Linked DNA regions of Notamacropus eugenii. The protein of the gene in region 4 purifies or fractionates together with the protein of the main gene of each other region. This does not show direct contact. Links are inferred from orthologs where the notes say so. Each region holds a gene or a part of one and is shown on either strand. Other genes may lie near its edges.

Evidence for each region.
Region 1: the proteins of LSM4 (region 4) and PRMT5 purify together in Homo sapiens (co-immunoprecipitation; 3 studies listed by BioGRID and IntAct, with this or other methods). This does not show direct contact. The link is inferred for Notamacropus eugenii from reciprocal best matches to the Homo sapiens genes LSM4 and PRMT5.
Region 2: the proteins of LSM4 (region 4) and PATL1 purify together in Homo sapiens (co-immunoprecipitation; 4 studies listed by BioGRID and IntAct, with this or other methods). This does not show direct contact. The link is inferred for Notamacropus eugenii from reciprocal best matches to the Homo sapiens genes LSM4 and PATL1.
Region 3: the proteins of LSM4 (region 4) and SART3 purify together in Homo sapiens (affinity purification with mass spectrometry; 4 studies listed by BioGRID and IntAct, counting the BioPlex papers as one, with this or other methods). This does not show direct contact. The link is inferred for Notamacropus eugenii from reciprocal best matches to the Homo sapiens genes LSM4 and SART3.

The regions. Positions count from the first base shown.
Region 1 is NC_092878.1:10,219,010-10,226,751, reverse strand, and holds the start of PRMT5 (protein arginine N-methyltransferase 5), read right to left. Parts: upstream 3,163-7,742; 5' UTR 3,007-3,162; coding exon 2,900-3,006; intron 2,444-2,899; coding exon 2,325-2,443; intron 2,187-2,324; coding exon 2,101-2,186; intron 1,926-2,100; coding exon 1,791-1,925; intron 1,316-1,790; coding exon 1,203-1,315; intron 1,064-1,202; coding exon 1,014-1,063; intron 808-1,013; coding exon 644-807; intron 36-643; coding exon 1-35. UniProt on the Homo sapiens protein: Arginine methyltransferase that can both catalyze the formation of omega-N monomethylarginine (MMA) and symmetrical dimethylarginine (sDMA), with a preference for the formation of MMA.
Region 2 is NC_092873.1:5,566,579-5,574,350, forward strand, and holds the start of PATL1 (protein PAT1 homolog 1), read right to left. Parts: upstream 3,029-7,772; 5' UTR 2,893-3,028; coding exon 2,878-2,892; intron 2,297-2,877; exon of another isoform or gene 2,113-2,296; intron 1-2,112. UniProt on the Homo sapiens protein: RNA-binding protein involved in deadenylation-dependent decapping of mRNAs, leading to the degradation of mRNAs. Acts as a scaffold protein that connects deadenylation and decapping machinery.
Region 3 is NC_092875.1:23,491,112-23,498,117, forward strand, and holds the start of SART3 (squamous cell carcinoma antigen recognized by T-cells 3), read left to right. Parts: upstream 1-3,864; 5' UTR 3,865-3,879; coding exon 3,880-4,173; intron 4,174-7,006. UniProt on the Homo sapiens protein: U6 snRNP-binding protein that functions as a recycling factor of the splicing machinery. Promotes the initial reassembly of U4 and U6 snRNPs following their ejection from the spliceosome during its maturation.
Region 4 is NC_092875.1:67,410,612-67,418,011, forward strand, and holds the start of LSM4 (U6 snRNA-associated Sm-like protein LSm4), read left to right. Parts: upstream 1-4,256; 5' UTR 4,257-4,866; coding exon 4,867-4,869; intron 4,870-5,014; exon of another isoform or gene 5,015-6,388; intron 6,389-7,316; coding exon 7,317-7,358; intron 7,359-7,400. UniProt on the Homo sapiens protein: Plays a role in pre-mRNA splicing as component of the U4/U6-U5 tri-snRNP complex that is involved in spliceosome assembly, and as component of the precatalytic spliceosome (spliceosome B complex).

The DNA.
Region 1 (7,742 bases), on a different chromosome or scaffold from region 4:
TGATTGGCACCAGTAATGATGAACTGTACTTCCAACTGTCAAGAAGTCAACGAATCAACTCAATCTCTATAGCCTTCCTTTTTTCCCAGCACAGAGCCCCACCGTCCTATTGTTTTAAAAGACTTACTCCCAAACCAAGCATTTTGTTTAATCACTGCCAGAGGAAAAGGGCATCAATGAAGAGGGGCCTAAGTCATTCATTTTATATATCCTAAATCAATCCCCAAATAATTAGTACATGGCTTTAATATGTTTAATGCCCACTTGGCATCTCAAGGCAGCTCAGAATACCTCATAACTTTTTGCAAATAGCAAAATATACTTCAAATATACTTCTGGATCTCAGAATCCCAAAAGTGAAAACTGGGGACTGAGGAAACAAAGGAGAACAATATAATTCCTAAGTTGGTGCTTTATTATTTAATCCTATGGAAATATTTCCTTTGAAGATGGGTTCCATGAAAAGTTAAAAGTTTCCTGTGCCACATTTTCCCTTTATCTCTGGACCCCTTCTGGAATTAAATATGAAAAGAGAATTGATCTAAGGGGAAATTTCAAACACTCATATAAACAAGGTAGAGAATCACTAGGGAACTAAAGGATGAACGTTACAACTCTTCACCCCAATGTATACCCTTTTTACCTTGAGGAGCCGGAAGATTAATCTCTGGTGCACCTTAGAAAGGACAGGAAATCCCTTCTTATTGGTCAAGAAGATGCTGGTGGGAAGGATGGCTGCTTTGATTGGCTCCCCAAGCCATCGGTCAATAATATGACTGGATGGGAGATCAGCACCAACTTCAATAGCTATAGTATGGAAAGAAAGATCTACTGAAGCCCAAACAGGCTTTCTTATCTGGGAGTCTATTACAATCTAGCTATGTAGCAGCCTGCTATAAAGTAAAAAGAAGTTACCCAAAGTCTCAAGCTAATCTGAAGCTTCACACCATGACTTCAACTCACATGGCGGAGGGGGGAAAGAAGCTCTAGCTATGGCAGCCTGCCACACTCACCCACTGCAATCCTCTTGCTGTAGTCACACAGGGTACGAAAGTTATGCCACCTGACCAGAAGAAAACAGAGCACAGGGCCTGCCAATCATTATACTCCTTCCAGCTGTCAGTCACTGTCCCACAGCCTCTAGCCCATTCTTCTCCCAGCCCTGGTTCTAATCTTCTGCAATAACAGAGAGAATCACATACCACATCCATGTCTTCTCCTCCCCAGTGTATGCCTCTGTCCGTTGAAGAGGCTCATTCCCAATGACATCATCCCGAAGGTCTTCTGCCGCCACCAGGGGTACCCGTATCCAGAACTACATGGAAAGAAACTTATTACCCTTGCCTCCACAAAGTTTTCTTTGATTAAAATGAAAATGATCCCAAACCAGTGCTACACCCTTTAGAACCAACATGTTTTTCTTGTTTCCTGCAGACTTAAGTAGGTAGTGCTACTTCATGGAGACAATGCCCATTTGTATGTTTAGGCTAATATCTATTTGTCTATCTTGTCTTCCAATTCAACTCTATGTTTTCTGAGACAGAAATAAATTCTCTTTATTAAAAGGATTCATTTTTTTAGTAACAGTATTTGTTTGATATATCCAATAACTGACTGATCAGCAATCCTAGGCAAATATAGAAGAACAGCAGGGTTCTTTCCAATCCATTTTATGCCCAATGTATTAGGTAGCCTGGTTTGGGATAAAACAGTATTAAATACAACCCAACCACAGCACAACACTGCCCATTCATCTTCTGGGTCTGGGGAGGAAATCACTTAGGTCATACCATGGAAGAATGATGGCCTGTGTGAATGTGATTGGTCAGAACTCTGGCCAGGTTAGTGTTATCTTCTTGAGTGAGAGGTAGCAGGAAAGCTGGAAGCCCCAGGTATGCCCCAAAATTCAACTCCTGCAGCATGGCCTGGAACAGAGACCAACACAGACAGATTAGTCAATGATGTCCCAAATGGCTTCCATCCTTGCGGTGCGAGACAGAGCTGACAGCAAGGTGTCCCAACAGCCGCTGAAATGTGGTCTGCCCCAGGTGGCCCCCAAGGGTCCATGACAGCCACAAGGCATCAGCCAAGGAGCCTCACCGCCTCCGAATTCCTTCTTATCTTCTCCACTCTGGAATCGGGGCGGATCCATGGTGACAGCTTCCCCACAATCAGGGTATTCCAGTCTGCATGGGCCAGGAAAGACAAAAACAGGAGAGGGGTGAGGACGTGAGCCCGCTTCTGCCCCTGGCATGGGGCACCACAAACCCGGGGCGTACGAGGGGCGGGCAGGGCTCAGACAATGTGGGGGGCGGGGCTCCTACCCCGTCCGGACAGCAGCAGGTCGGACCGAGTGTGGGGCCCGGGGCGGCTCTTGGCAGGCTCCTGGGCGAATTCCCTCTTGAATCGGGGGTGGAAGACGGGCATGCAGAGGAAATCAAAGCTGAGACAAAGACAGAGGACCCGGCCCGTACATTAGTAAACCCACAGCGGCCCGGCCCACGTGGGCCGGACCAGCGCGCACTGCCCACGCGCCAGGGGGGCACGGGGGGGCCTCGATGCCCCCCAAAAGGGACTTCGTGGGAAGGAGGAGAGGGAAAAGGCAGGACCCCCCCTCCGGCGGCAGGGCCGGCCCCCGTGGGATCTCGCCCCTGGCACGGGTGCCCCATGCCCCAACTATCGCCGGATTGCCCGCACACCGTGCCAGCCCGCTCCCAGCCTCGGCAGGGGACACGTGCGCCCGAGCCTCTCCACCCACCCCCATCCGCCGCAGAAATGGTCTCTCCCACCACGGTCCCCTCCCCCTCCCCCCGGGGCTGGGAATAGTTTCTCCCACTCCATCTCCCAGAAAGCGCGCGTCCCACCCCAGAGAGGAGGGAAAGGAAAACGGGGCCCTCACCCTTGTTTGGCCACGGCCCCCAACGTATCGGCCACTTCGGGGACGCAGTTGAGGTCCCGCCCGCTGGACACGCGGCAGCCGGGGGCCCCAACTGCCACCGCCGCCATTTTCCCCCTCACGTTGTCTCTCCAGGACCCCTGGCTCGCAACAACCAATGGCGAAGCGCAGAAGAAGCCGGGTTTCCCCGGTAGGCGGGAGGAGTCTCCTTAACAACCCGAGCGTCTCCTTGCACTCAGCGCCGCGGGGTAGGCGGGGCGAGGTGTGGGCCTCCCTACCAATCAGGGGGCGGCGCCGTGACGAAAGACAAGAGACCTGGAAACCTACCAATCCGAGGGCCCCGTTTGTCCGCCGAGTCTACTTCCCGTCTCGTCTTAGGGAGAACCCTTGAAACAGGTCCAAGCGAAAAACTACATCCCCCATGAAGCCCCGCGGCATGCTCTTGAACACGGGCCGCGGCCAGAGCTTTTTCGTCCGAGGGCCAGTGGCGCAATGGATAACGCGTCTGACTACGGATCAGAAGATTCCAGGTTCGACTCCTGGCTGGCTCGTTGGGAACGGCTCCTCTTTATTGCTCCCTCGGGAGGCATCTTCTGTCCTCTCGGTCTCCGCTGTTTTCCTGCGGTCCCTTATGGATCATGGACGCTTCCTCCGTCTGCTCTTCCAGCACCATAAGGGCCTTCCGAGCGAAGAACGCGGCCTCGGACTCTACTTCACGGTAGACCCCGCCAGGCCCGCGCTCCCTGGAAGCTTCCAGCGGGAGAGGAGGCAGGGAAGGGACGTGGAGGCCGTGTCTGCTGCTCCCGAAAGCTGGACCTCACGCGCAGTCACGGAATTCCTCCGTCCGAACTCCCCAGAAGAGAGTGGGTCCAGGACCTACGTGGGCGTGCCCCGCGGCCCGTGGGCACGTCGGGCCGGTGCCCCCCCGGTGTCCCCCCAGCGTCCTGCGGGTCGTCCAGGCTGCCCTCCCCCGCGGCCAGTCCTGGGGTCTGCACCTTGGACACCGGCCTAGCCCCGCTCGGGCAGCTCCAGGGGCTCCCCGCGACGCGCAGGACCGGGCAGGAGGCCCCCGCGCCCCCTCGCGCCCCGCTGCTGGCCCACGACCCTCCCTCCCCCAAGCGCATCTTCTCTGGCTGCCTCCCCTCTGAGGCGATCCCCAGTGTGTCCTGCAGGTATGGTGGGTGTGCATGCACCCCCGCTCCTCTACATGTCCACATCCACACGCGTGTGCGTGTTGGTGGTGGTCTGCCTCACTCAGAGCAGGGGCTGTTGTTTGCCTTTCCCTGGATCCCTAGGACTTCGTACGACAGCCTGGAACCCAGGAAGGGCTTCGTAACTGCTGACTGATTGCGTCGGTGCGTTCTCTAGACATCTTGTTTAAAGGATCAGGTGTAAAGCTGGTGAAAGTTTGTCTTATCTTATCCATTCTCCTCATGCCAGTCAGTGTAATATTAACGATATCTCGTGCGTTCCCTGTAGACTGTACGCTGCCCTGGTGTCACTTCCAGGAGAGCATCTGATGAATTACAGACCGATGGATGACCGGTGTTATCTCTGCCTCTTGGAAGACTTACAGAAGGCAAATGGATGTCTACTAATGGAGGAATTTCTGGCATGTTGGTATTTGAGTGGGAGGAAAAGTTTTACATGGGAGAGTCTTCCTGATGCCCTAGAAATCACACCAGTAAGTAACTTCCCATCCTCCCTGCCCTGCCATCTCACTGTATTAGGTTCCAGTTCAGGGAGTCAGGAGATCTTGGTTTGAGTATGTCACTCACTACTAATGATGGGGCTCAGACTCTGGGAGCCTCCTTGAGCTCCCCTTGAATCTTCCCACTTAATCTGGCCTTCCTTACTCAAGTCTAATCTTCGCATTTGTTCTGGCAGTCTCCGGAAGCCCATGGGCTTTTCATTATCTTTCTACTCTAGTCTCCGTTGCACCACCCCCCCCCCCCCTTGATCCCATCAAAACCCCATTCCCCTGGCTGCTGACCACTCCCATCAAGATCTGTATCCATTCCCATACTGCCCCTAGATCTGTATCCATTCCCATACTGCCCCTATCAAGGTCTCTGGATTGCCCCACCTGCTTCCCACCCAAACCCACACTAATCTGATATCTCCTGATAGCCTCCAGCTGATTCCAGCCTTTGACCCTCCTTGGATTCCCTCCTTGGACTTCTCCTCAAGACCCTCCCTAAACACCTCCTCCCATCACCCTGGACTACCAGACCACCCCCAGATCCCTCCTACACTCTTTTCTGTATTTAAGTTCCATCTTGCCTCCATGAAGGCGCTCAGATTCAATCCAGCTCAGACTCTGTCTAGCTGGGATTCTGTCTGGCCTGCTTGTGAATACAAGCTTTACAAATGCTTAGGCGCCTTAAGAGGCAACCCAATTTGGTGAATCTTTAATAAACTTTGTTTTCTTTGGCTTTAAGAAGGCTTGAGTAGAATTCATTCGAGCACGACCCGGACTGTCGGTATCTTGGGGTCCACAATCACCCCTCAACCTCGTCACTATGTGACCTTTTTCAAGTCCCTTCACTTCTGAGGACTTCAAATGACCATTAAGTGCTATGTATACATCATTGTGCTAGGTGCTGTAGGAGATAGAAAGTTTAGAAAAGACCCAAGGCCCAGTGGCACCCACAGTCTAACAGGATCCATAATAGTAAGATCCATACTCAGGAAATTGAAATACACAAGAACACTTGATAAATAAAGTTTGCCCAGTGATGTGAGAGAATGAGCACTGAGCAGGTTATCCCTGACACATGGAGAGCCGAGGGAACGTCAGGGAAAGGATGACTATTTAGTTGGGCTTGAAAGAATAGGAAAAAATTCAACAAAGGAGGAGAGAAGGCATTCCTTACCTAGGTATTGGCCCAGGCAAAAGCAGGAAAGGCACGTATCCTACGGTATTTTGGGTAAGGATAAATGGGAGATGGAAGAGCACAGTTTAGCCAAAGTAACAAAATTAGGCCAGAGGTCTTCTCAAAGTCTCCCGGACTCTTAAAATTCTAAGAATGACAAGAACCTCATCAGACTATTTTATTGTATTCCCCATGGCAATAAATACCGTATTCAGAACTGGGCGTATTCTTGGACTTGTTAATTGATTGATTGCATAAGAGGCTATATAGAATTAACCTAGAACATGCCCCTTACTATCAGCTAAGCCTACGGTTACGTAAGAATCAGAAAGACACAGTAAAGAGCACTGATTGCTTCCATCTTTGTTTTTTGGGGAGACTTTAGGTTTTTTAATCAATTTTCAGTTGCGTATCCTTCTATATTCTGTTTTAAAAGGATGAGGGGAGAAACATTTCTTTTTTTACCTATAGAATTGTAAGGAATGTAGGACTTTGAATTGTGAAGATGGGCTGAGATAGGGAGAAAGAAGAATACAGTGGAGTGAGGAATGCCTTTGAGGAAAAAAAGAGTTTATCTCAGCCCTACAAAAATGGGTGGAAAATATGGATGCTTCATCGCCTTCACTGAACAGACTTACAGAATTTCAGAGTTCAAAAAAACCACAGTGAGCTTACCAGAAAAAGAATTCACTTGATCACTTATCCAACAAGTTGACATCTGGCTTTTTCTTGAAGAACTCCAACAAGTGGCATCCATAGCTTCCTGAGGCAGACCTTTTCACTTTTAGATAACCTCAACTGTTATAAAAATTTATCTTTGTACAATTTTTCACTCAGGATCTCATCCACAATAATTCTTCATTTGGTGTCAATTCTCTCCTCCATATGACATCCTTTTAATTACTTGAATATATCAATCATGTTCCCACAAAATCTTTTCTTCTCCAAGTCAAACATTTCCAGTTCCTTCAGTCCCCATGTAGTATGAACTCAAGGTCTTCACCATCCTGATTGTCCACTCTGGACAATCTCCTGAATATCAATATTCTTTCAAAAATGTGGCATCTCTAACTGAACACAAATACAACAGATGTTTGATGGCCAAGTAAAAAGGGATTGATACTTTCGTATTCCTGAAATTCATACCTTTCTTAATGTACCCTAAAATCATATTAGTTTTCCTAGCCACTATATCACATTATTGATCCATATTGCACTTGAAGTCCACTAAAACTTCCAAACCTCTTTCAGATGTTCAGCCTTGCCTCCACCATCTTGCATTTGTGAAGTTGAATTTTTTTAACCCTGGACATAGATGTGTTCCTATTAAATCTCATCTCATATGATTTGACCCAATGTTCATACCTGTTAAGACCCCCTAATGGGTTATCTATCTCTCCTAGCTTTGTGTCATCTGCAAATTTGATGAACACATGTTTCTGCTCCCAAAACACATCATTGATAAGAATGTTAACATGAGACCAACCACAGTTCCTTTTTTGATTTTTTTTTTTATTAATTGTCCTTTGACCAATACATTATAGAAAATTGCTAGGGATTAAAGTCAGGCTCACTAGCCTATAATCTGCAGACTATTTTCTTGCCCTCTTTGAAAATCAGAGCATTTGTGCTTCTCCAATTTTGCAGTTTTTTATCTTGTTTTTCCTATTCTCTGTGATCTTTCCAAGCACACCAAGAATGGTTCATCAATCACACATCTGCCAGTCCTCTCAGTACTAGAGGATCTGGGTCAAATGTCTTAGATCATTAATGGTAGGTAGGCAACTCCCAGTGTGGAAATTCCCTGCACCGATGCAGTTTCACAGCTCATTAGTAACTTAGTCTCAGAATCATCTGAGTAAGATGATACATTAAGTGACTCCTCTGGGCCCATGGCTAGTGTGAGTCAAGAATTCATTTCAGATCTTTGTAACTCCAAGTGTGGCCCTATACCCACACTGCTTTTCAAT
Region 2 (7,772 bases), on a different chromosome or scaffold from region 4:
ATAATATTTTCTTGACTGCATCATTTCACATGATTCATCAGAAATCTAGTAAAGGGATTTCTTCTTAAATCTCAACTGCTACAAATATGTCAGAACTGAAACTAATTCTTAACTTCCTTATCTGTTTGAAGTAGTAAAAGGAATTGAAAGTTAATTATATTACATTTCTGGCTCTGAGTTTTAGGTATTTTCCCCTATAAACTGATTTCCCACCATGCTCATCTCTTTCTCAATCTATCACTCCTTTCTTTTAAATATTTCCCAACATTCTCTCACCCCTAACTTGGGAAATAAAAAGAAATGCCTCTATAGCAAATCTTCAGACTCACAATTCACTCCATTTTCTAACAAAGCACATCTTGATAAATCATGTCCATGGCCTTGCACAAACACAATTGCATGGCATATGAATTTTTTCCCCTACTTTGTTGTTCTCTGTTAATTATTTCATTCTGCTTTTTTAAAAAATGACAACAGCCAACTTATTCCCACCCTTTATTTCCACAGTCATCAAAAGTCCATCAGAAGTTAGTGCCGTTTGGGAAACCTGATGTCAAGGCTCCATGGAGACTTCTTATTAATTCTAGTGGGGTGAATGAACCAGAGGTTTAGCACTATGCCCTGTGACTCAGTTCTCTAAGCTAGCTCGTGCAGTGGACAGAGTTCTGGACTTGGAGTCAGTTAAGACTTGACTTCAAAATCTGTCTCACACCCTTACTAACACTGTGATCCCAGACAAATCATTTAATCTCTTCCTGTGAGTTTCCTCATGTGTAAAATGGAATTATAATAGCACCTACCTCCCAGGGTTGTCATGGGGATCAAATGAGATATTTGTAAAGTACTTTGCAAACCTTAAAGCATTATATAAATGCAAAGTGTTATTACTATTACTACTAATTATCATTAGAATCACAGAACACAGAGATGTTCAAGAAGCTGAGGAATGTAAGGGAAAGAGGCTCTATATTTCCCTATTTTAAAGATGAGGGAGGCAATGTGGTACAGTGGAAAGAATGACAGTCTTAGAGTCTAAGGACGTGGGACCTGAATTCCAACTCTGCCTTTTTACTACTGATGGGTTTTTTGTGCAAGTCAATTAACTTCTTTGGGCCTCAGTTTCCACATCTGTAAAATGAGGGAGTTTAGAATAGATGATCTGAAGTCCCTTCCTGCTCTAGATATATGAGCTTATGATCGCTTTGCTTAAAGTCACCAGGTTAGGAATCACAGAATTTTACAACTGGATATAGAAGGAAACTGAGGCCTACCAAGTCTATTTTCTGTGTAAATAAAGTCTTCCCTCCTCACATGAACCTCTCAGAATTTCCACCCTCCTTCAAAGCTCATCTCAAGTTTAACCTCATTCATATATTTCCTGATCCTTCCCACCACTATCAGAAATTACTACATGTGTGTATTTGCACTTAAGCTCAAGGGCAGCGGATGTTTAATTTTTACTTTTGTATCTCCAGAGAACAGCACATAGGCTCAAGTCTAGAGCTGGAAGGGGCATCAAAGGCTTTTTCAACCTCCTCATGTCACTGATGGGGAAAATAACACTCCAAGAAAAGAAAAGGCCTGCCCAATGTCACACAAAATAGGGTCCTCTGTTTCCTGAGTCAATGCTCTTCCCAATAGCAGGAATTTAATAAAAGCTTGTTGAATGTATGAAAGGTGAGAAAGGAAACCTGAATTCAAATCCAACTCTGCCATCACTTAGCACCTAAGTCACCTAACCTCTCCAGGCCTCAGTTTCTTCCCTTGTAAAATAAGATGTGTAGATGTTCCTTAAAGCTCTTTCTAGTGCTTGATTCCACTCTTGTGCCCAAGTTGCAATTAAGTAGCAAGATTCAAATCCCCTTCTAACTTCAAGACCAGGGCTCTTCCCACAATGTCAAAAAAAGCAAGTCTGGGCTGTCTCTTTACTGAAGGAGATGAACACGCACCCCACCTCCCCACCTCCCCACCTCCTGGGGGATCTCAGGTTCCTTCTTTATCCCACAAAAGTCCTGGAGAAAGCTCCCTGCTCCGAATTTCAGGGCAAGGTAGGCTTGGTCTAGGTAGCTCCTGCCCGAAACCTAAGGGAGGGATTAAAGTCAAAAAGCAAACCTTTCTCCTTTCTCTCTAAGGACAGCAGCAGCAGCAGCGGCAATAGAAACACACCCCAAGCTCCAAGCCAAAGGCAGCCTGCACCTAAGAGGCTCGCAGACAAGCTTCCCCTAGAGGCATCATCGGTGCCTTCCAGCAAGAGGGCGGCTCCGGCCTTTGTGAGCTGGGTCAAGGTTATGACCGCCCCAGACCTCGGCCTCTGGGTAGCCAGGTCGAGGCCCGGAGGCAGGCGCTGTTCTCGGTCATCCCCCTCCCCCCGGGCCTGCTGCACCTCCAGCACCGACCCCCTGGGGCTCCTCCGAGAGGTGGGGAGCCCGGGAAGCGGCAGGCCCTCATCTCGGCCCCACCCCAGGCTCAGGAGAGAACTCCGCCAAGTGGAAAGGAAGCCCCAAGACCCCGAGGGCGTCCCCAAGATGCAGAGACTCCCCCAAAGTTACAGACGGGCCCCCGAGGCCCCGGGGGAGCTCCCCAAGGCTACAGTGGGACTCCCTTAAAGTTGCAGAGGGAGCCCCTCATGGTCCAAGGGGAGCCCCCGAAGTCTATAGAGGAAGACCCCTCCCCTAGGCCCCAGGGCAGCCTCCCCGACCCCCGGTCTCCGGTGGGCAGCGGCTCCCGGCCCGGGCGTCGCTCGGTAGGTGTAACGGGAGTAACGGGCCCAGCTTCTCCCGCTCCCCCGACTCACTCCTCCCGGGGAGGGGGTCCCCCCTTCCCTCTGTCCCCCTCCCCCCTTTTCCCGGGGGGCCACTTCCGGTGGCCCGCGCTCACCTCGTAGCGAAACATCGTCGGGGGGGAGGGGGAAGGGAGAAGGGGGGGAGGAGGCGGAGCGGGAGGGGGATGGGGGAGGGAGGCGTGGGGAGGGGGGGAGACGCGTCCGACGCCCCGGGCTCCTCCGCGCGCGCCCGCCACTCCTCCGGCGGCTCGCGACCCCTAGCCGCCGCCGTACGCCTCTTGCGTGCCAGCGTGCGAAGGGGCGTGCGCAGGCGCGCTGCACCGTACCGCGGGGAATCCGAGGGCAAGGGGAGAGGAAGGGCCCTTCCCTGCTCGTGCGGCTGCGCGGGGACTTATCTGACGCTCGTTAGTCATTTGAGGACAGCGGCAAATAAGTCCCAGAGCTCAGTTCTGCCCCTGCGCGCGGCTGACCCCACCCCCGGCTGGCCTCGGGCTGTGTTCCCTGGTACTGGCGCTGGCTCCACGTCTGGGGCGTGGCGGGCACTCGGGTCACGAGGCATCTGTCCGCGGGGGAAGTCCTTGTGATTATCACCAGATAGTGGCCCGAGGGGCCGACTTGGAGGCCAGCATTCTTGCCCCCTTGACCTTGAGAGTCCTCGCCGGCCTCGGCCTGCCGGCGTCCGGGCCCGTAGACCCCCACACCCCATTCCTCCTCTCCCTAGCCCCGCCGCCCCTTCCATGAACGTTGTGTCAATCCATCAACAAACCCTGAGGCCCGCAGGTGTGACGGAGCCCGCGCTCTGGGCTGGGGACTGCCCCGAGGCTCGAGGACAACTCCCCCCGCCCTCGACTGCTTTACTTTCTAGCCCGTCCTAGGAAACGTCCGCGCGCTGAAGACCCCAAATTTACCGGAGAGTCACTAAATGGAGCAGGCGGGGTCCCGCCGTCCAACACCCTGCCCGCCCCTCGCCCCGGGCTTTCCCGCTTTGAACCGCGGCGAGGGTGGAGGTGGGGTGGGGGAGGTCATTGGCTTCTACTAGTCCGGGACTTCAGAGATCCAGGATTCCCGGGGCGGCTGCTCCCGGCGCCCACAGTGCCCACCGCGCGGGCAGGGAAGGGGCGGGGCGGTGCCCGTCTCATTCATTAAGCTCCTGGGGCGCCGCAGCACTTTGCCCTTTTTGGGGTCCTCAGAACTTAGCACAGGGCCTGACACACCGGGGCAGTTTAATAAATGCTTCCTCCCAACCGCGCTCCCTCCCTTCCTCTTTTCCTTCTTTTCTTTTTTCTCCTTCCTTCCTTCCTTCCTTCCTTCCTTCCTTCCTTCCTTCCTTCCTTCCTTCCTTCCTTCCTTCCCAGCCTCCCTCTCCTCCCCTCTTCTCTCCTACCCTCCCTTTCTCCCTTCTTTCTTCCCTTCCTCTCTTCCACCTTCCCTCCCTCTCTTCTGTTTTCACTTTAGGAGCAGGTAAGGCGCATAGATCACTAGATTTCTCAATGCTACATGATAACTGCATCAGAAAAGGTGTAAGATGACTGTTTTTCTGGCGCTAATAACAATTGCTAGCATTTATCTAGTGCTTTTAAAGTTTGCCAGTAATGTGCTCAGAGTCACACAGCAATGTGAGTGACACAGCTGGGACTAGCACCCAGCCCTCATGACTCTCAAGTCAGACCTCCTCCCACCGTACTGTGCTTCCAATGTATACGTATGTACTTGTGTGTATATATGTATCATTTGCTGACCTTGGTCAATGGGTCTATTTGTAAAAGGAGGGGGTTGTGGTACCAGATATCTAAGGTCCTTCCATCTCTAAATCCTATGGTTTTTTTGGCATGAAGGTTACCTCCTTGCTCTGCAGACTGTGCCAAGAATCTTAACGCCAGTCTGTATTTTAATAGTTTAAACTTCGATAAGACTTTTGGGACACAATATATAGATCTGGGGGCAACTAGGTAACACAGTAGATAGAATGCCTGGCCTGCAGGCAGGAAGATCTAAGTTCAAACCCAGCCTCAGACACTTACTAGCTGTGTGACCGTGGACAGGTCATTTAACCCTGTTTGTCTCAGTTTCCTCATCCATCAAATGAGCTGGAGAAGAAAATGGAGGACTGATGAGTTCAGGTTGCACCCCAAGAATCACCTGAAATGATGAGGAGTAGCTGTGTGGGTCCTATTGCCTTGAAAGAGTTCACTCAGTGTCCAAGTTAAAGAAATGCATTTATTGGGGTGATACTGTCAAACTCAGGGGAGGCAGAGCATAGGTGGCAAGTCCTACTCACCTAAGGTAGCAGAGCGGCCCTGCTCTTCATAGGAGGCAAAAGTGGTTATTGGGATTCGGTGTCTGGTTTAAGTATAATTTTATGGAATAGAGGAAAAGAGGACAAGGGAATGGGAGGAGCAAGCCATGCTCCAAAATGCCTGGGATATCAGATAGGCCTGAGGTGCTTTATCATACAGATAAGCAAAGACAATAGAGGAGGGAAAGGGAAGAGTTGTTCTGGAATTGGGGGTGCTTTGTGAAAGCACACAGGTAAATCCGTGGTGAGGGGCTTCAATGCCTAGTTTTCTTTGATCACTTTTTGGTCGATCGTACCCTGCATTTTATTTCATATCTCATATCCTGCATCCTGCTTGCTCCATCTACTTCTAGTACTCTTCTGCCTCATCAAAACCACTCCAGTATCCTTGCCAAGAAAGCTCCAAATGAAGTCACAAAGAGTCAGGCACAATTGAACAATATATAATTCTATATAGATCTGCAGACCATAGATCTCTATATCAATTTTCCTATATATGAACACTCATATAATATATACATACATATATAATAATTTTATATAGATATAATACACAAATGCATACATATGTGTATGCATACAAACCTGTTTGCGTGCTTCATTTTGTGCACTTAATTCTGTGCCTATAATTTCTAAAGTGTCCATTCAGCCTATATGCAACGTTCCCCTCCCATACCTCCTCACACATAGAATCATAGAATTTAAGTTGGATGCTTCACAGGAGCCAGCTAATCCAACATGGAAGGATCATAGGATCAAAGATTTCAAGCTAGGAGAGATCTGAGAGGCCACTGTGTCCACCTCACCTTCAGGTGAGGAAACCTAAACACAGATCAATCAACCCTCCTAGGATCACAGAGCCACTAAATGTCTGATGCAGGACCTGTACTCAGGTCCTCTCAGTTCCAAGTCTCATGCCCTATCCATTAAACCATTTTGCTTCTTGAAAAGTCCACTCTACTGTTCCTGAAAAGCCTTTGGTGAAAATATCTGATGAGAGGGAACTAAACACGTCCCAAGGAGGTAACTCATTTCACTTGGGGCCAACTGTTCTTGTTAGGACATTTTTCCTGACATTCCCTCAATTGACCACTGGCCCTTGCTCCTTATTCTGTTCTCTGGGCCCCAAACTGATCAAGTCTAATTGCTCTTCAAATGATTCTAAAGCCAATTCACAATCCTGAACAGTTCTGAAGGCAATTCTAGGATGGTCTAGCCTAAGTCTCTTAGTCTTCTCCATAAGAAGAACATGACACATTCTATCTAATGCTTTGTTAAAATCTAACAACTTTACCCACAGCCTTCCCTTGGTATCAGATGTTAAGTGGCCTTATCAAAAAAATAAAGAAGGAAATAATCGAAGTCATCCTAATGAAGTCATGCTGGCGCTTTGTAATAACTGCTTCCCTTTCTGGATGTTTGCTACCTCCCTTATGGCATCTAACTCCAACCTCCATTCAACCTCTACCCTTGTCATTCAATTTCATTCAACAAGAATGTTGCAAACACTATACCCAAGTACTGTGCTAGGGTTACAAAAAAATGAAACAGTTCCTTAGATTTTCTCATGAGAAACAATGTACCTAATACATAAGCTACACAAACTATCTACAAAGTAAATACAAGATTTTTTTTTCCCACAGGATAAACATACTTGTTTATACTAGGTACTGCTACAGGGAGGGAAGGAATCAAGAAAGGTTTCATGAAGGAGGTGGCACTTTGTCCTTCATTGCTGAAGAAGACCATGCCATCAGAGAAATAATGACATGACTTGCACTTGACTTTGTTTGGAGTGAGGGAGGGCTGTGCAGGTCACCAGCCTCACTTCTCCTCCACAGCCATCTGAATCCAGTGACCAGATATTCATCAGGATGACTGGAGATGTCCCAGGATGCAGTCAAAGGGCCACACTTGAGGACCAAGAGGGCCACATGTGACCTTGAAGGTACGGATTCCCCACCCCTCATCAATTCATCATATGCATGTATATGTATGTGTGTGTATGTGTGCGTAGTTTGCACATAGTTGTTTGCATGTTATGTCCCCTGTTAAAATGAGAACTCCTTGAGAGCTGGGACTGTTGTTGCCTTTTTTAGTAGCCTCTGGGATTCTTGGTACATAGTAAGTGCTTAATCAATGCTTGTTGACTTGTTGAAGTAAACAAAGATTTCTAAGAGGCAGAGGAGAGGTGAGGGGGAATTCAGGCAGGGGGTACCAGTCATGCAAAAGCATGGAGGTAGGGGATGGAATAAATGTAGTGAGTTCCCCATTATTGAGTATATATAGACAGAGGCTGAATGGCTATGTTATGTCAATGTTGTAAAAGTGTTTCCTGTTCAAGGACCAGTGAGACGAGATGTCCTTTAATCACTACCATATAACTTAGATACTTTTTCCCTCCCTCTTCCTCCTACCTCCCCCCTCCCTCTTTTAGGAGGCATACAATTTTACATAGGTTGTACACATACATTCCTATTAAATACATTTTCACCATAGTTATGTTGCATAGAAAAATTATGAATGGGAGAAATCATATAACAAACCAAAACGTAATACAAAAGAAAATGCTCTGCTACATTCTGCAACTGAATTCCATAGTTCTTTCTCTGGATGTGGAAGATATTTTGCCTTAAAAGATCATTGGGAATTTTTTAAGTCCTTGCATTGCACTGAAGTTCTAAGTCTACCAGA
Region 3 (7,006 bases), about 44 Mb from region 4:
TCTGACCTCACTCAAGCAGACCACTTCTTCTCTCTGTGTCTCAGTTTCCTCCTCTGTAAAATATAAGATGTCCATGGACTATGCCAGGGGCTCTTAACTTTCTTTGTGGCATGGACCCCATTGGCAATGAGTCTGGTAAAAGCTATGGATCCCTTCTCAGAATGTTTTTTAGTGCATAACATCATATTCGTGATTACAAAGTAAGTCAATTATATTGAAATATATATGTATATGTGTATGTATACATATATACATACATACATACATATATAAAAGTTCAGGAACCTCAGGTTAAGAACCTCATAAACTGTTTGATTTCTAAGGTGAGCCAATCATTAAGTGTATATTACATACTTACTGTGTGCCAGCCACTGTGCTAGACACTGGGGATGCAAAGTCAAACCAAACATTTTCTGTCCTCAAGAAATTTCTGTTGGGGAAAACTCTATAGTATGTATGTAGCAGTGGTGGTGGTGGTGGTGGGGAGCAGTGAGCAGGGTTAGAGTGGGCCTTTAGAGGTCAAGTCCAGCCCCCTAATTTTATAGATGAAGAAACAGGCTCAGAGAGGTTAACTGAGTTGCTCAGGGTCAACCAGCAAGTGTCTGAGGCAAGATTTAAACCTGGGTCATCCTAGGTCCAACACTATCCCCTGTCCTCTGCTGCCACTGTGAATCTCCTTACTGACTCATTGCCTAGATGGGTTTCCTGGTATAAACCTTTTCTTTATATTCTGGTGAGGTGTAACAAATGAATCTCTAATTCTGCTTCTGTCCCTCTTCCCCTCCTCTCTTTCTATTTCTATCTCTCTCCATCCTTTTTCTCCTCTTTCTCCCTTCCCTTCACCCCTCCAAGCCCCTATCAAGGTACAATGCTTTTCCAAACACTCATTTTTAAAACTCTCTCATCCAGGAATGTTCTTCTCTTCCAATAAATATACTCACATGAGCAGTGCCTGTGTTTAGCACTTTAATGCTTTAAGGGTCCCTCTGAGACCCTTTCCCTGCTTTGCCTGTGTTATGGTAGATACTTGGTCATCCGTATGTCTTCTCCTCCATCAGACATAAGTCAAAGTGACTTCCTGGAAACAGCCCTCATGTGCAGAGGGAAGAGCTAGGGGCGTCCCGAGGGAATCATTTATTATGGCCCATTCTTTTCATTTACATTCACATAGCACAATTTGTTGAGCCATTGTCCAGATGATGAACATCTACTTTGCAGCTTTGTGCTAACCCCCAAATGCTGATGTCAATATTTTGGGGTGTGTGGAGACTTTCCCGGTGGGATGGCTGCCGTTATGGAAGAATCTCTGGGCATTTTAGTAACTTCATTTGCTTAATTCCAGACTGGTGGCATGGATTTGCAGCTTCAATAATGCACTAAAGTACCGGTTGTCCTGAAACCCCTCCAGCATCGACTCTTCCCAACTTTGGTCCTCTGCCAGTCTGTCGAGTGGGAAGCGAACCTTCAGTTGTCTTGATTTGCCTTTCTTATTCCTAGTGATCTAGAGCATTCTTTCAGGTCGTTAGTAATAGTTTGTTCTTCTTTTGAGAACTCTTCCTATCATTTAATCACTTTTCTGTTGGAGAGGGCTGTCTCACAAATCTTGCTGCAGTTTTAAGCTTTAGCATCTCTGTTATGTTTAGAGCCAGAAGCTTTACCAGCTTGTTAATACTACCATGACTTGTGGAATAGCGTACGTGTATATGTGTGTTGTCTAAGTATCTTGGATGCCACATATTTTCCTGTTTTACCACTTAACTTAGATATATTTTGTTTGTGCAGGTTTTCAATTTTATATAACATTAACGTTTTTGATTCCTTCTGTCAATTGAGAAGACATCTTTAGCTGGAAAAGGTCTATGATCCGTTTTCTTCTAAGTTCTTTCCAATATGATCTTTAATATTAAAGTCACACTTTCAGTTTATGCCTGACAGTTTGCAGTTTTTGTTGATGAGGGAGTTTTTTCTGAACTAATTTATGTTTTCCAGTTTATTGAACCCTGGGTTATAGTTTCCGATTCTCCTTTGTCTATTTTTCCATCAGTACCAGATGGTTTTGATGACTGCTGCTTTATAAAATAGATTGGCTCTTCATCCTTAACTCTTTGATTTCCCTTGATATTATATTGTTATTTTATCAGGTTCTGTAAAGTGTTCTTTTGATAATTTGATTAACATGAAAATTGTAAATTAATTTTTGTATTACTGTCATTTTTATCACATTGACATGGTCCAGCCATGAGCATTGAATATTTCTCCAGTTACTTAAGTTTTTATTTCAAGGAGCACTTTGTAATCGGAGCTATTTATACCAAGTCTTTTGTGTGCTTTAGTAAAGTGATGCCTAAATACTCTTGCATTTTGTAGCTTCCTATGGCTCTCATGGAACTGGAGTTCCCCTTCCGTTGATAGGCAGGCCTGGTGGATTCTTTCTTTTTAGGGCTGCCAGGGGCTTGGCCTAGCTTTCTGCAGTCAATGCCAAGCTTCCTTTCCAATTCAACTAGGGAAACTTTTTCATACTTCCTAAGTGGCAACAGAGCAGTAGATAGGCTTTTTTTTCCATTTAGTTTAAATTAATATTAACACTTCACTACCTCAGTTATCTGCCCTTTACTTTCTTTGACTAAACATGACCTGAGTTTAGGGAAATGTCCTGACCAATCCTCCTTACACATGTATGTGCATTTGTATATGTACATATGTGTGTATATATAAATACATTTATATACACATGTACATACATATATACATGTATAGAGTGGGAAAGAGAGTAGTGTGTGCGTGTACATCAAGAGCTAGGTGGAGCAATGGATAGAGCACCAGCCCTGAGATCAGGACCTGAGTTCAAATCTGGCCTCAGACACTTGACACCAGCTGTGTGACCCTGGGCAAGTCACTTAACCCTGGCTGCTTCCAAGAAAACTTAAAAGCTTCCCGAGGCAGGCGATAAACTGAGAAGGTGTATTTGGTCCCCTGCATGGCCTTGGCCTTTCTTTGTAAGAGGAAGCGCCCTGCGTCTGGCTGGGTCAGCCTGGTCTTTAATCACGGTCCCTCCATTCCCTGACCTGGCAGGTGACACCAGGCATCAAAAGGGTCAAACGCAGCACTTTCCACATTAAAAGGGAACAGCCCTCGCTGCCCTGCCGCATTCGCACTGAACTTCTAAGGAAGAAGTGAGGACGGCAGGCATGCCAGGCACGGAGGAAGGTCGGTGCAAAGGTGCGGAGATGGGAGACGCGGACAGCCACCAGGCCCCTTCCAGCAAGCAGCCCCACGGTTCCGGACGCGGGCCGTACTGAGTCTCTAAGGACTAGTCATTTTAATTAACGAGGACAGGTGGGGTGGGGACTTGACTCGTTCCTGGTCACGGGGCTCGGGCTGGGCAGTTTCCCCCGCACCAGGCCCCGGGTCGGCACTAGGACCAGCCGGCGGCGCGGAGCACGGGCCGGCGCGCACGCGCGTCAGAGGGGCAGCGCGGGCTCGGGCTCCAGGGCGCACCTGCGGCAGCACGCGCCCCACGCAGGTCTAGGGACCAGGAGGTAAACCGCCCTTGTCCTTCCCAAGATGGCGCCCGCCCCTGCACGTCCCGCCCCCTCCGCCGTCCCGACCTCCTCTATGGCCCCCACTTCCTGTCCAAAGGACCCCGGAAGCCTGCCCCTCGTCGCGCCGGGACGGACGCGGAGAGCAGGGGTCCCTTCTCGCCCGAGAGGAGGCTGGCTGGGTGAAGCGCCCCACCGAGGCCGCCCAGCCCCTCGGCAGCTTCACAGCCCGGCCTGGCCGGACGGTGACCCGGCGCGGCCCGGGCAGCCTCGGCGTCAGCGCTGACGTCACGGCGTCGTAGGCGTCGGGCTCGCGGGGAAGAGACGCGGGCGGCGCAAGATGGCGGCGGCAGCAGCAGCGGCGGCCGCTTCTGGGCCCCGGGCGAAGGCCCCGGCGGCGGGGGCGGGGGCCGCGGCGGCGGAGGAGGCGGAGGACGAGGAGACGGCGGCGGCCTTGGCCGTGGCGGCGGCGCGCGGGCGTCCCGAGCCCGAGGCGCAGTCGGAGGACTCGGGCGGGGGCGGCGACGGCGGCGACGAGGACGAGGACGAGGACCTGGGCTGCTCGTCGGCGGAGGAGGACGACGATGACGAGGAGAAGGAGAACGAGGCGGAGATCCAGCGGCTGGAGGAGCAGGTGCGCCGCGGGGGAGGGGCGGGGGCTGGGGAGGGGGTGGTGCGGCGGCCGTTGTGGGACTGTTGCTCCGGAGCCTCGCGCACGCGCAGTGGGCCCCGCGCGCCCGCGCGCTCCAGACCCACGTGCGACAGACCTTCTAGGCGAAGGACGTGGGGAGGGGCGGGCAGAAACGGGGTCCCCGCCCTCGAGGAGCTCCTCCTCCGGTGGGGGGACCAAACCGCATACCCTTGGGATCAGCGGGACGAGAACGACCTATCGGAGACGAGGGGGAAAAAGGGAGGGCAGGCCTGGTAGGGGGCACGGCCGGAGGGCAGGCCTGGAGTCGGGAGGAGGGTCTTGGGTGATGATGGAACATCATCCAGTAAGAAGACTGGAAAGGCAGGAAGGGGCCAGGTTTACCAGCCTAGGGGTCGGTAATGTTCCAAGTTCTAGTCCCAGCAGCCCCACACTCCCTGCGGCTCGGCTCTTTAGAAGGCTGGTGTGCTCGGGGTCGGGGCACTCCCACGGCCTCGGCCTCTTTGGCCCAGGGAGGAAGTGAAGACGTGGGGGCCGTCCAGTGTGAATGTAGAAGCCACCAGGCGCTGGAGGCTCGCGCTGTGTCCCCTGCAGGGCATTGTTGTTGCTTTTGCGTCCTCTGTCTCTGAACACGCCCTCGTCCTCCTCACCTCGCCTACCTGCCCCTCCTCCAGCAGGCTGGAAGAAGGCCGGCCACCGTGCAGCCTGCATCTCAGCCCTTCCAAGGTCAAACCTGGCCATTCCAACGCTCCTAACCGTTGGGTGACTGGTCTCGGACCAGTAGATTTACATTATGAAGCGAGTTGAGTTGATGGGGAGCTGACCCTGCATGGGAGGCCTGCCACGTCCGAAGCCGCTGGCCCGTGCAGGGCTCTCCCTCCGCCCCAGGCTGCGCTTACCTGCCCTTTTATCCAGGTAGCCTTGGGCCTCTAGTCTGTGTGCTCCGGGCTTTGCCTTCCTAGCTCTCCACTCCTCTGGTCCTTCCCGTCTCTGAAGACAGTAGACCGCGATCAGACACTCCGGGACAGGCTTCCTGACAGACTGGGGGAGCTGGACGAGACCTCATCATTCATCTGTTCTCGTTTGTTACATGTTACCGAAGGAGCACGTCGGTGTTTGCGGAGAGTAACAAACCTGGCAGTGTTCCAGCGGCGTGCGAATCCAGCCCAGCGCAGTCAGCAGCCTTATTGCCCTTGGCTGTCTGACCTCCCTGCCCTCTTGATGAGTTGGTTGGACCAATGAGATGTTTCCTTCCTAGAGTTCCAGGGTACTGTCCCTCTCCTCTCAGGCTTGAGCAGGAACTAGCTTGGTCAGAATTCTCTCACCCGTTGGCTAATTCTTACCTTCCCATGGCTTTAGTTTGGCTGTTGACATGGCATGAGGAGGTCCAAGGAGAATGTACATGTGCTTACTAGTTAGATGTTGATGTGTGTGGTGTGATCATGGTGCCTCATTTTAATGAATCTCAAGATGGCCATCTCTCATCGCATCAACACAGCATCCCAGATGTGGAAGGGAGGGATCTCCAAGGGAATGTGGTCCAGCCAACCTTGTTTTGCAGGGGAGGAGGGACCCAGGGAGGAAGGAGCAGAGCCAGGATGTGACCATTGGACCACACTGTCACTTGTCATGTCCATCTACACAGAGACCTTTCTTGCTCTAAAATAGTCATAGATGTTGTAATTAATTTAAAGAGACCTGAAATTTTAGGAATGAGAAAAATTGAGTCTATTGGTGATTTTCCTAAGGCCGTATGTGTATATCTGTCTGCATACATAACAAGGTGGTGGTAGATCCAAGGACCTCCCCAGTCATACAGGAGTGCACCTCATATACCACCTCCCCATCCCATTATATAGTGAAATGAAAATGACTGTGGACTAGAAGACTGAGATTGAATTCTGTCACCACACTGAGCTGGTGAGTCTCCTCTCTGTAGTGGACCCCGAAGAAGCTCTGGATTTTTGAGCCCTGAACATCTGGTTTCCGATCCCAGCTCTGCTCTGAGTATCTGTGCAGCCTTGGCTAAGGCACTTTACTCTGGGCCACAGCTGTCTGCAAAGCAAGAAGATGGCACTAAATGACCTCCAGAGGACTGCGATTGTAACTGGCTCTGAAATGTTACTATTTTAAGTTTTATTTCTAAGTTTTTGTGTATCCCATCAGGAGAAAATTAAGTAGAGGTGTGATTAAAAAAATTATTGCTTTATAAAAACACTTCTGATTTTGTCCTTACGAGCCATGGCTTTGTTGCTGTATCTTTCAGTGAGAAACATCAGTTTATATTTGTACAGCACCTTTTTAAAGAACCCTGTCATATTTCCATCCCTCTAGAATTGAGGAGCCTTTAACACTGAGAGGTCCCATAATCTGACCAGTGCTGCATAGGCAGACTGAGCTGGTCTTTCCTAATCCTCCCTGCTGTGGCCTCGCTGACAGCCAGGCTGCTTTTTTAGGTTCAACAAGGTCAAGCTGGGTAGGGCTCATTTTTCCCAAATGTTATCATGTGGTCATTATAATGAATACCATGATATGTTGGTTCTTCCCCCTGGCTGCAATGTGCTTTTTTAATTATAATGATAACCATATGATTTTTAATTTGAAGTTAAAAGCTCTCCCCTAGAAGTTGTTCCTGATGCTTGTTACTCTGAAAACTTTTACTTTTATTCTTTGTAAAGGAACTCTGGTTAGTTCCAGGCCAGTTGTTTTTTTTGTTTTTGTTTTTAAAGCTCCAGTGTTTTTTGTTTTATTAATAGAATTTGTACTGTCACTTGTGGATGGAAATTGATTGTTGAAATAGATCAGCAGATGGTAGAGA
Region 4 (7,400 bases):
TCTAATGCACATGACAACTCTTGACATACTAGAAAGCAGCTCAGCCCTGCCAAATCTTTTCTTCTCCAGGATAAAATCATCTCCAATTCTTTCAGCTCATCCTGGGATCTCCAGTGCTCTCACTATCCTGGTCATCCTCCAGCTTATTCATGTCTTTTCTAGAATATGGGCTCCCCCAAAAGAAACATAATCTTCCAGATGTGTCCTAACCAGGGTAGAAGGCAACAGGATCATCACCTGACTTGCTTGGTACACATTACACCTCTCTCCACTTAGCCTAGGGTTTGGGGCTCATTTGGAACCCACAGATCCCATTCCTATAGTGCCCCTAGGACTTTTATCAAACACTTCCCTCACTAAAACCTTGGGGGGGGGGTCAGAGTGGGACACTTATGGATTCCATTCTACATAAGGGGGAACTGAGGTCCAGGTTAGGTAAGTGACTTGAGGGTGGAAGGTCAAGGCTTCTGATCTGGAGTTTTTCCTCTCCCAACTGCCCCTGTAAGAGGGAGTGTTCAGGTCAGGGAGCAGGCTGAGCTGCCCCCTCAGAAAATGTGGGATAGAGGGTCTGTCTTCTCCTCTCTCAGGCTCTATTTTCATATTTCTTACTGAGTATGGAGCTTTGAAGCTATATTGGTGACCAGAAGAGTAGAGATAAAGGGATAGATGCAAGAGGTGCTGTGGAAATAGAAGCAACAAAACTTGGCAACTGATTAGCTATGGGGGATAGGTGAGAAAAAGTCATCAAGAATGACTCTGAAGTTATGAATTGAAGTAACTGGAAAGACGGTGGTACTCTTGATCCAAACTATAAAGCCTGGAGGTGGGGCAAATTTATAGTAGGTGATAATCACTTCTGCCTTAGATATGTTGACTTCAGATACTAAAATAACACCCAAGTGACGTCCAAAAGGTGGTTGGTGATTTGGGAACAGAGTTAAGGAGAGATGTTAGGGTTGTATATATAGATCCAGGATCACAGAGATAACTGAATTCAATGGAGATAATATATAATAAAGAATGTGAAGAGAAGGAACTCGACAAAACCTTGTGGGACACGCATGCATAGGAGACAAAAGGTGATTGATGATCCAGTAAAGAATAAAAAGGAACAGTCAGATAACTTAGGACCAGGTGAGGGCAGTGTCAGGGAAGCCAAGAGACAAGAGGATATACAAGAGAGGAGTGTTCAAAGTAGCAGAAAGGCTAAAGAGGAGGATTGGGGAAAGGATGGTTAAGACAATGTATATAAAGCACACACAAAATTTATACAAGGTAGTTTGGGGAGGAGTGCTCTAGCAGTTGTGGGGAACTGGAAAGGACCTTCATGTAGAAAAGGGTTTTTGAAAGCTGAGTCTTAAACAAAATCAGCATATTGTTTTATACGTGTTAGTTCTGTCTTTAGGCTTGTAAATGACATCTCCTCAAGTAGACTGTAAACTCCCTGAAGACAGAGACTGGATCTTGTTCATATTTAAATATAGATTACTTTGCCTTGCACATAGTAATTTATACAATGAATTAATTTGCCATTTTTCTTCATCCAAACAATGAAAGAATTTTTGCACACATATTAAAAGGTTCTACTTCAACAAACATAAAGCATCCATTAACAAGACATGGTCCTGCCTCATAATGTTCACAGTGTGGTCCAACGTATGTGCAAATAACCATGATATAACATGATACTTAAGATGCATGCGATGCAAATTAAATGTAGTGCCAGATCTAAGGAGGCACAACCAAAAGCAAGGATCATGGAAGATGTGTAGAGGTGGCATCTGAACTGGATTTTAAAGCATGTAGGATTTCAACAGATAGAAATGGAGACATATTTCAGGCAAAGAGAACAGAATGGAGATGGGTTTTCCGTTGGAAAAAAAGACAACCAGTTTTCCCTTGAGAGAATAGGAGATGAAAATAAAGTTGGAGAATCTCTGAGAACTATGTTTACTCTACTCCCTGAACTTCTTGGAGGAAAACTGCACCTATATTATATGTCAAACTATCCAGTAAGGAAATTCAAAAGCTTTTTAAAAAACTGAACGCTAGAGGGCACATGTTACTTGTTTGTGAACGGTGTACAAGTTCTCTGTAGGGCAGTTTCAGAAATAGTTAACTGTAGAGTATCTTTTGTGAGTAACTTTATTCTAGTACAGAGAAAAAGTAAGACAATCAAAGCATCTGAAGACTGAGGTCCCACAAACAGAGGAAGAAAATGGAGCCTGAGAGAAGAGGGGGAAAGAAAGGGAGACACTGGGACTATGTGGTAAAAGCACAATAAAGGAGATAGCCCAGGGTCACTAGGAAATTCTATTTCTGTAAACCAGTGTTAAAATCTACTCTTAGAACATCTTGTTTTCTTTGGTTGTTTTACTGTTTTATATTGTTTTACTTTTGCCTGTTCTTTTAAATTAAGAAAAAAAACCTCTTGGTCCAATCTGTTCTTTCCCTAATACCAGATTAATCTTCCACATATGGTCAAATTCCTTTAAAGTCATCCTACTTAGTGGATACTAAGGTCTTTTCCCCTTTCTTTCCTTTATTTGAATGACTCACATATTCAGTCAGTTTAAGGTTATTGATGAACCTGGATAAAAAAAGACTTTTAGAGATGGCAATAGGAGATTCTAAGGGAAAGGACATTAGCAGTTTTATCATTTTGTATAGGGGAGATGGCACTGCAGGACCATAGAACTAGAGATTGTCCCCATCCTGCCTGAGAAAATTCATATACAGCTCCACCCTTCAGTTCTCCTCTCATCAGAAGAGCAGATGAGTGCAGAACTTGGGGTAGGCTATAGACTAGCAGTTCAATGGGTAAATGATTCTGGGGATTTAATATACATAGTGGACCTTAATGGTTGCTCACTTAAGGGTATGTGTTGTTTTCTTTAATAATTTTTCTCTGTAATATTGTGAATTATATGCATGAAAGTGAGGAGTCATTCTTAGACTACTAGGGAGTTCTAATGATACATTTTCCTGATGAACACTATCTGTAAGTGGACTCAGGACTTTCTTAAGTTTATAATACAATCAAAGTTTAAACTGTTTTGAGACCCTTCACAATTTGGTGGCACCCTGCCTTTTTTAGCCTTAGCTCAACTGTATCCTGTGTTTCTGTCAAACTTAAGTACTCCTGATCTACTCCTCTCTCAAGTCCACATTATTTGCTCAGGATTTTTCCACCTGTGTGCTCATGTTATTCTGTTCCCTCTGTCTGAAATACCCTCCTCCCCATTGCTCCTCATAATTCGAGCCCCTCTTTAAAGCTCAATCCAAATGTTGCATCCTCCAAGTCATCCACAATCTCTTTGGTGGTTAATTTCCTCATACAGCATTATGCACTTTTCTCATGCACTTGTTACACAGTTACATTTATCATATAGTTACAGTTATTTGGACAACGAATTGAGCATCCGAAAGAAAATTACCTAGTCACACTTGCTCATTTGACAGATAAAGAAAATGAGCCACACAAAAACTCTGACTTGCCCGACAGCTATCAGAGGGCAGAGCAGAGATCCAACCTTAGGTGCTGATTCTAAATTTAGTGTTTTTTCCTCTTCCAAATATTTGTGTTAGAACAAGGGGCCATGTCCTAATTAGTCACTTAGCCTCTCTGGACCTCAGTTTCCTCGTCTGAAAAGGGATCTATAAGATCTCTTCCAACTTCCAGAGTCCAGGACAGTACTTCTCTACAGAAAAAGGTGGGATGCCAGTTCAAAAAGAAACCCCAACCATTACTAGTGTTTTAGGGTTTGCAAAGCACTTCACAAAATGCTCTGGTTTGAGCCTCACTCAAATTAAACTCCAGCAACCTTAGAGTCTCGGACCTGAAAAGATGCTGGGACAACATCTCTGTATCGGGTTCAACGCCAACCTGAAGCAGGATATTCCCCGCCGAGCATCTCCCTCCCTAACCTTCCAGGCTCTAAGGGCTGCGGATTATTGGGAGCTCTTCGTGCTGAGCTCCAAGCAGACCCTTTGCCCCCAGGGCGGGGTGGCACGGGGACGGGCAGGGCAAGTCTATTCACCGGGCTAAGACCATCCCCAGCTCTTTCAGCTCCTCCTGGGGTCTCCAGGGCTCTCGCCTTCCCCGTCACCGTCCGGCAGGTCCATGCCCCTACCCCCCACTAAACCCAGCGCTCCAGGTGTGGCCTGGCAGCAGGATCGTCGCCCGCCGTGCTTGGCACAGCCCACACCTCCCTCACCTGGCCTAGGGTTTCCATGGCGCCTCTGAGGCTTCTACCAAACATTTCCCTCACTACAACCCTGGGCGTCGGCGTGGGAAGCCCAAGGATTCCATTCCCCAGACTGGGTAAGGGACTCGAGGGTGGAGGGTCACGGCTGGCCGCCAGGCTTATGTAAGAGGGGGTGCTGAGGTCAGCGAGCAGGCCGAGCTGCCCTCTCAGAAGACGGGTGGAGGGGCTGTTTTCTTCACTCTCTGCCCTCAGACACTAAGGGCGTCTCACAGATCCGCCTGGCCGACCCGCCTGGCCTCCCGTTTCCTCTCGAGAAGCCGAAGCGCACGCAGCCAACGACCGTTACCCACAATTCCGCGGGGCGCCCGCGTCTTTTCAGCACCCTACAGATTACTGCTTTACGGCAGTTGCGCGCCCGAGGCGCGGGGTCACTCTCCACCTGTCGGAGCTCTCGGCCTCTTTTCCCCGCCCCTTCCGCCGTTCGGGATTGGGCAATCTGTCAAAGGATCGGGTAGTGACTGGCTGGCGGAGACGTCAGCCCGCCCTGTTCGGTGAGGGGCGGCCTGGAGGGAATTCTGAGTCTTCCGAGCTACTGCGGCGGCGGCGGAAGTGACCGGAACAGCCCCGGCCCTGTCCCCGCCCCGGCGCGGCCGGCACTATGGTGAGGGGAGATTGAGGGAGACGGCACGGGGCGGCGGGGACCCACTCTGAGACTCAGTCCCCGGCCCTGGCACGGGGAGGGACAGGGAGGGGGCTGGTCCTCTGTGAGCCCGAGCACAGGGGGTGGGGGGGTGGAGATCTCACGTGGGCCGGGGCGCGGCGAGACTCCCTGGCCTGCCTTCCTCTTCTCCTCTCCGTCTTCCGCTCTTCTTTTCATTCCCCTCCTTAATGCTTCCTTCATCTCTCTCCTCACTCCCCCCTTCTCCTCCTCATCCCCGCGCTCAGTTAACTCCAGTGACTTTCTATCACCGTCCCAGTCTTTTCCTGGCATTCAAAGCCTATCCCTGCCATGTAGTCTTCTTCCGGCGACACTGACCCCGCATCCTTTAGGTCCCAGCATTTTCTCCCACGTCCCTCATGCCTAGAAAGCCTTCCCTCTTCATCTGTGTCTACTGACTTCACGCAAGTCCCTTTCCCCACTCATCTTCATTTTAGTGCCTTCTTTCTGTTAATGATTTCCTACTTATCTTGTATGTATGTGCGTATTTGTTTATTCATCATCTCCCCCACTGCCCTGTGAGCTCCTTGAGGGCATGGACTGTCTTCTGCCTTTTTTGTCTCCCCAGACCTTAGTACAGTTCCTGGCACATATTTACCATTGGTAAATGGTTCTTGACTGACTGATCCCCCTCTTTTTTCCTCTTCTTCATCTCCACCCATCCTTCTTTTCATGCTCCTCCTCTTCTCCTTCATCCTCCCCTTATCCGGCTTTCTCATCTCCTTTATTTTTCCTCTCCCTCTGTCATACCTCCCCATTTTACTCATCCTCATCTCCCCAGCCCCCGCTTCTCATGTGATGTCTCATTCTCCCTTTTCCCTTCCTCATCTTGTCTTCACCATTTCATCTCACAGCCTCATCTCTCCTTTTCTCCTTCCATGTCTAATTCTTACCTCTACTCGTAATCTCAGCATCACTTTGCTTCACTTTTTCTCCTGCCCCATTTTCCTCATCCTATCGTCAACTACTTATAGGACCTGGGCAAGTCCCTTAGCCACCTGAGCCCTAGTTTCCTTCTCTGTAAAATTATGGGTTAGGTTAGATTGCCTCTGATATCCTTTAGATCCTATCATCTTTCTTTCTCTTCTTCACCTGTTTGTCCTACACCTCCTCTTTCCCCTATTCTCTTATCCCTCATTTTCATACCTTCATTTTCTTTTTCATCCCTTCGTCTTCCCTCCCTGTCCTGCCTTCATTCCATCTTCATTTCTTTCTTCATTTTCTATTCCCCTTATTTTCCTCTCCAATTTGTCTCTTTCCTCTGTCTTCCCACTATTACTTCATTTTTCTTCTTACCACTTTTATCTCTTCTCTTTCCCTGTCTTTTCTCTCATCTCTCCTCAACAGTTTAACTTCCCTCTCTTACCCACCCCAGTCTCTTCCTCCTTCCACTTTGGGTTGGGGGAGGAAGGTAGGATTTGGGAACTTGCATAATCCAGCAGTTTTTTGATTAAAAAAAAAGGTAGGGCTTCTTTACTTCTTCCTATTTGGACTTCTATAAGTTCCATCTTCCCTTCTTTCCCTGTTCTTCCTGTGCTGGGTCTCCCTTGAGTTACATAGCAGCAAACATGCACATTTGGCCATCATAGTACTCTTACAGAAAACCAACTGGGGAAGTAGACTTTGGCCCATTTTCGTGTGGAGCAGTAGCCCACGCTCACCTATGATCCTTTGGAGGAGGTTCCTCAGAGCTTTTTTCCCTTTTCTTTAGAAAAACCCTCAGATGTTTGTTCTAGTAACATACTAAAATTAGAAAGTCCATGGTCTTCCTTCTCAGACATCCCCAATGGTAGCCTTGAACCAGAGATTGTCAGAACTGAAAGGACTCTTAGATAATATCTTCTCCAGCCTTCTAATTTTATGGAGGAAGAAACTGAAGCTGGGTGCCCAGGGCCACACTGATGGCTCCCATTCCAGGCCTGTTTATACTACTCAGTAGCATATGTGAAAAATAAAATCCATAGTGCAAAGTGGTATGAAATCTTGAATGTAGAAAAAAGTAACACTCCCTTGAAGGCAAAGTCCATGAAGGGATTGGCTGTTTTGCACATATGTCCCTGGGTTTTTAAGAAGAGGAAAAAGGTTTTAAGCTTTGTAGTGTCTGAGGAAAGGAAAGCAAAACAAAACACATTTAAGTTCATAGCCTCCTGAACTACAGTGATAAGGGGGCTTTATTGGTATTGGCTTCTGTGTCAAATACAAATGTAGCATTGTGAAAGTGGGAAGACTAGTGTCCAGGTAAAATCTCATTGGTTGAATCCTGAATCACTCCTTGTATCTCCACTACCTAATTGGAAAATGAGAGGGAGGGACTTGATCTCTGTTGGAAGAAAGACAAGCTTATGCTTTAGCCGATGGAATTCTCAGTTGTCTTTTGTTTGCTTTCTTAGTTGCCCTTATCCTTACTGAAGACAGCCCAGAATCACCCCATGGTGAGTAGGCAATGTGCTGGCTACTTGGTAACCTTGAATCTC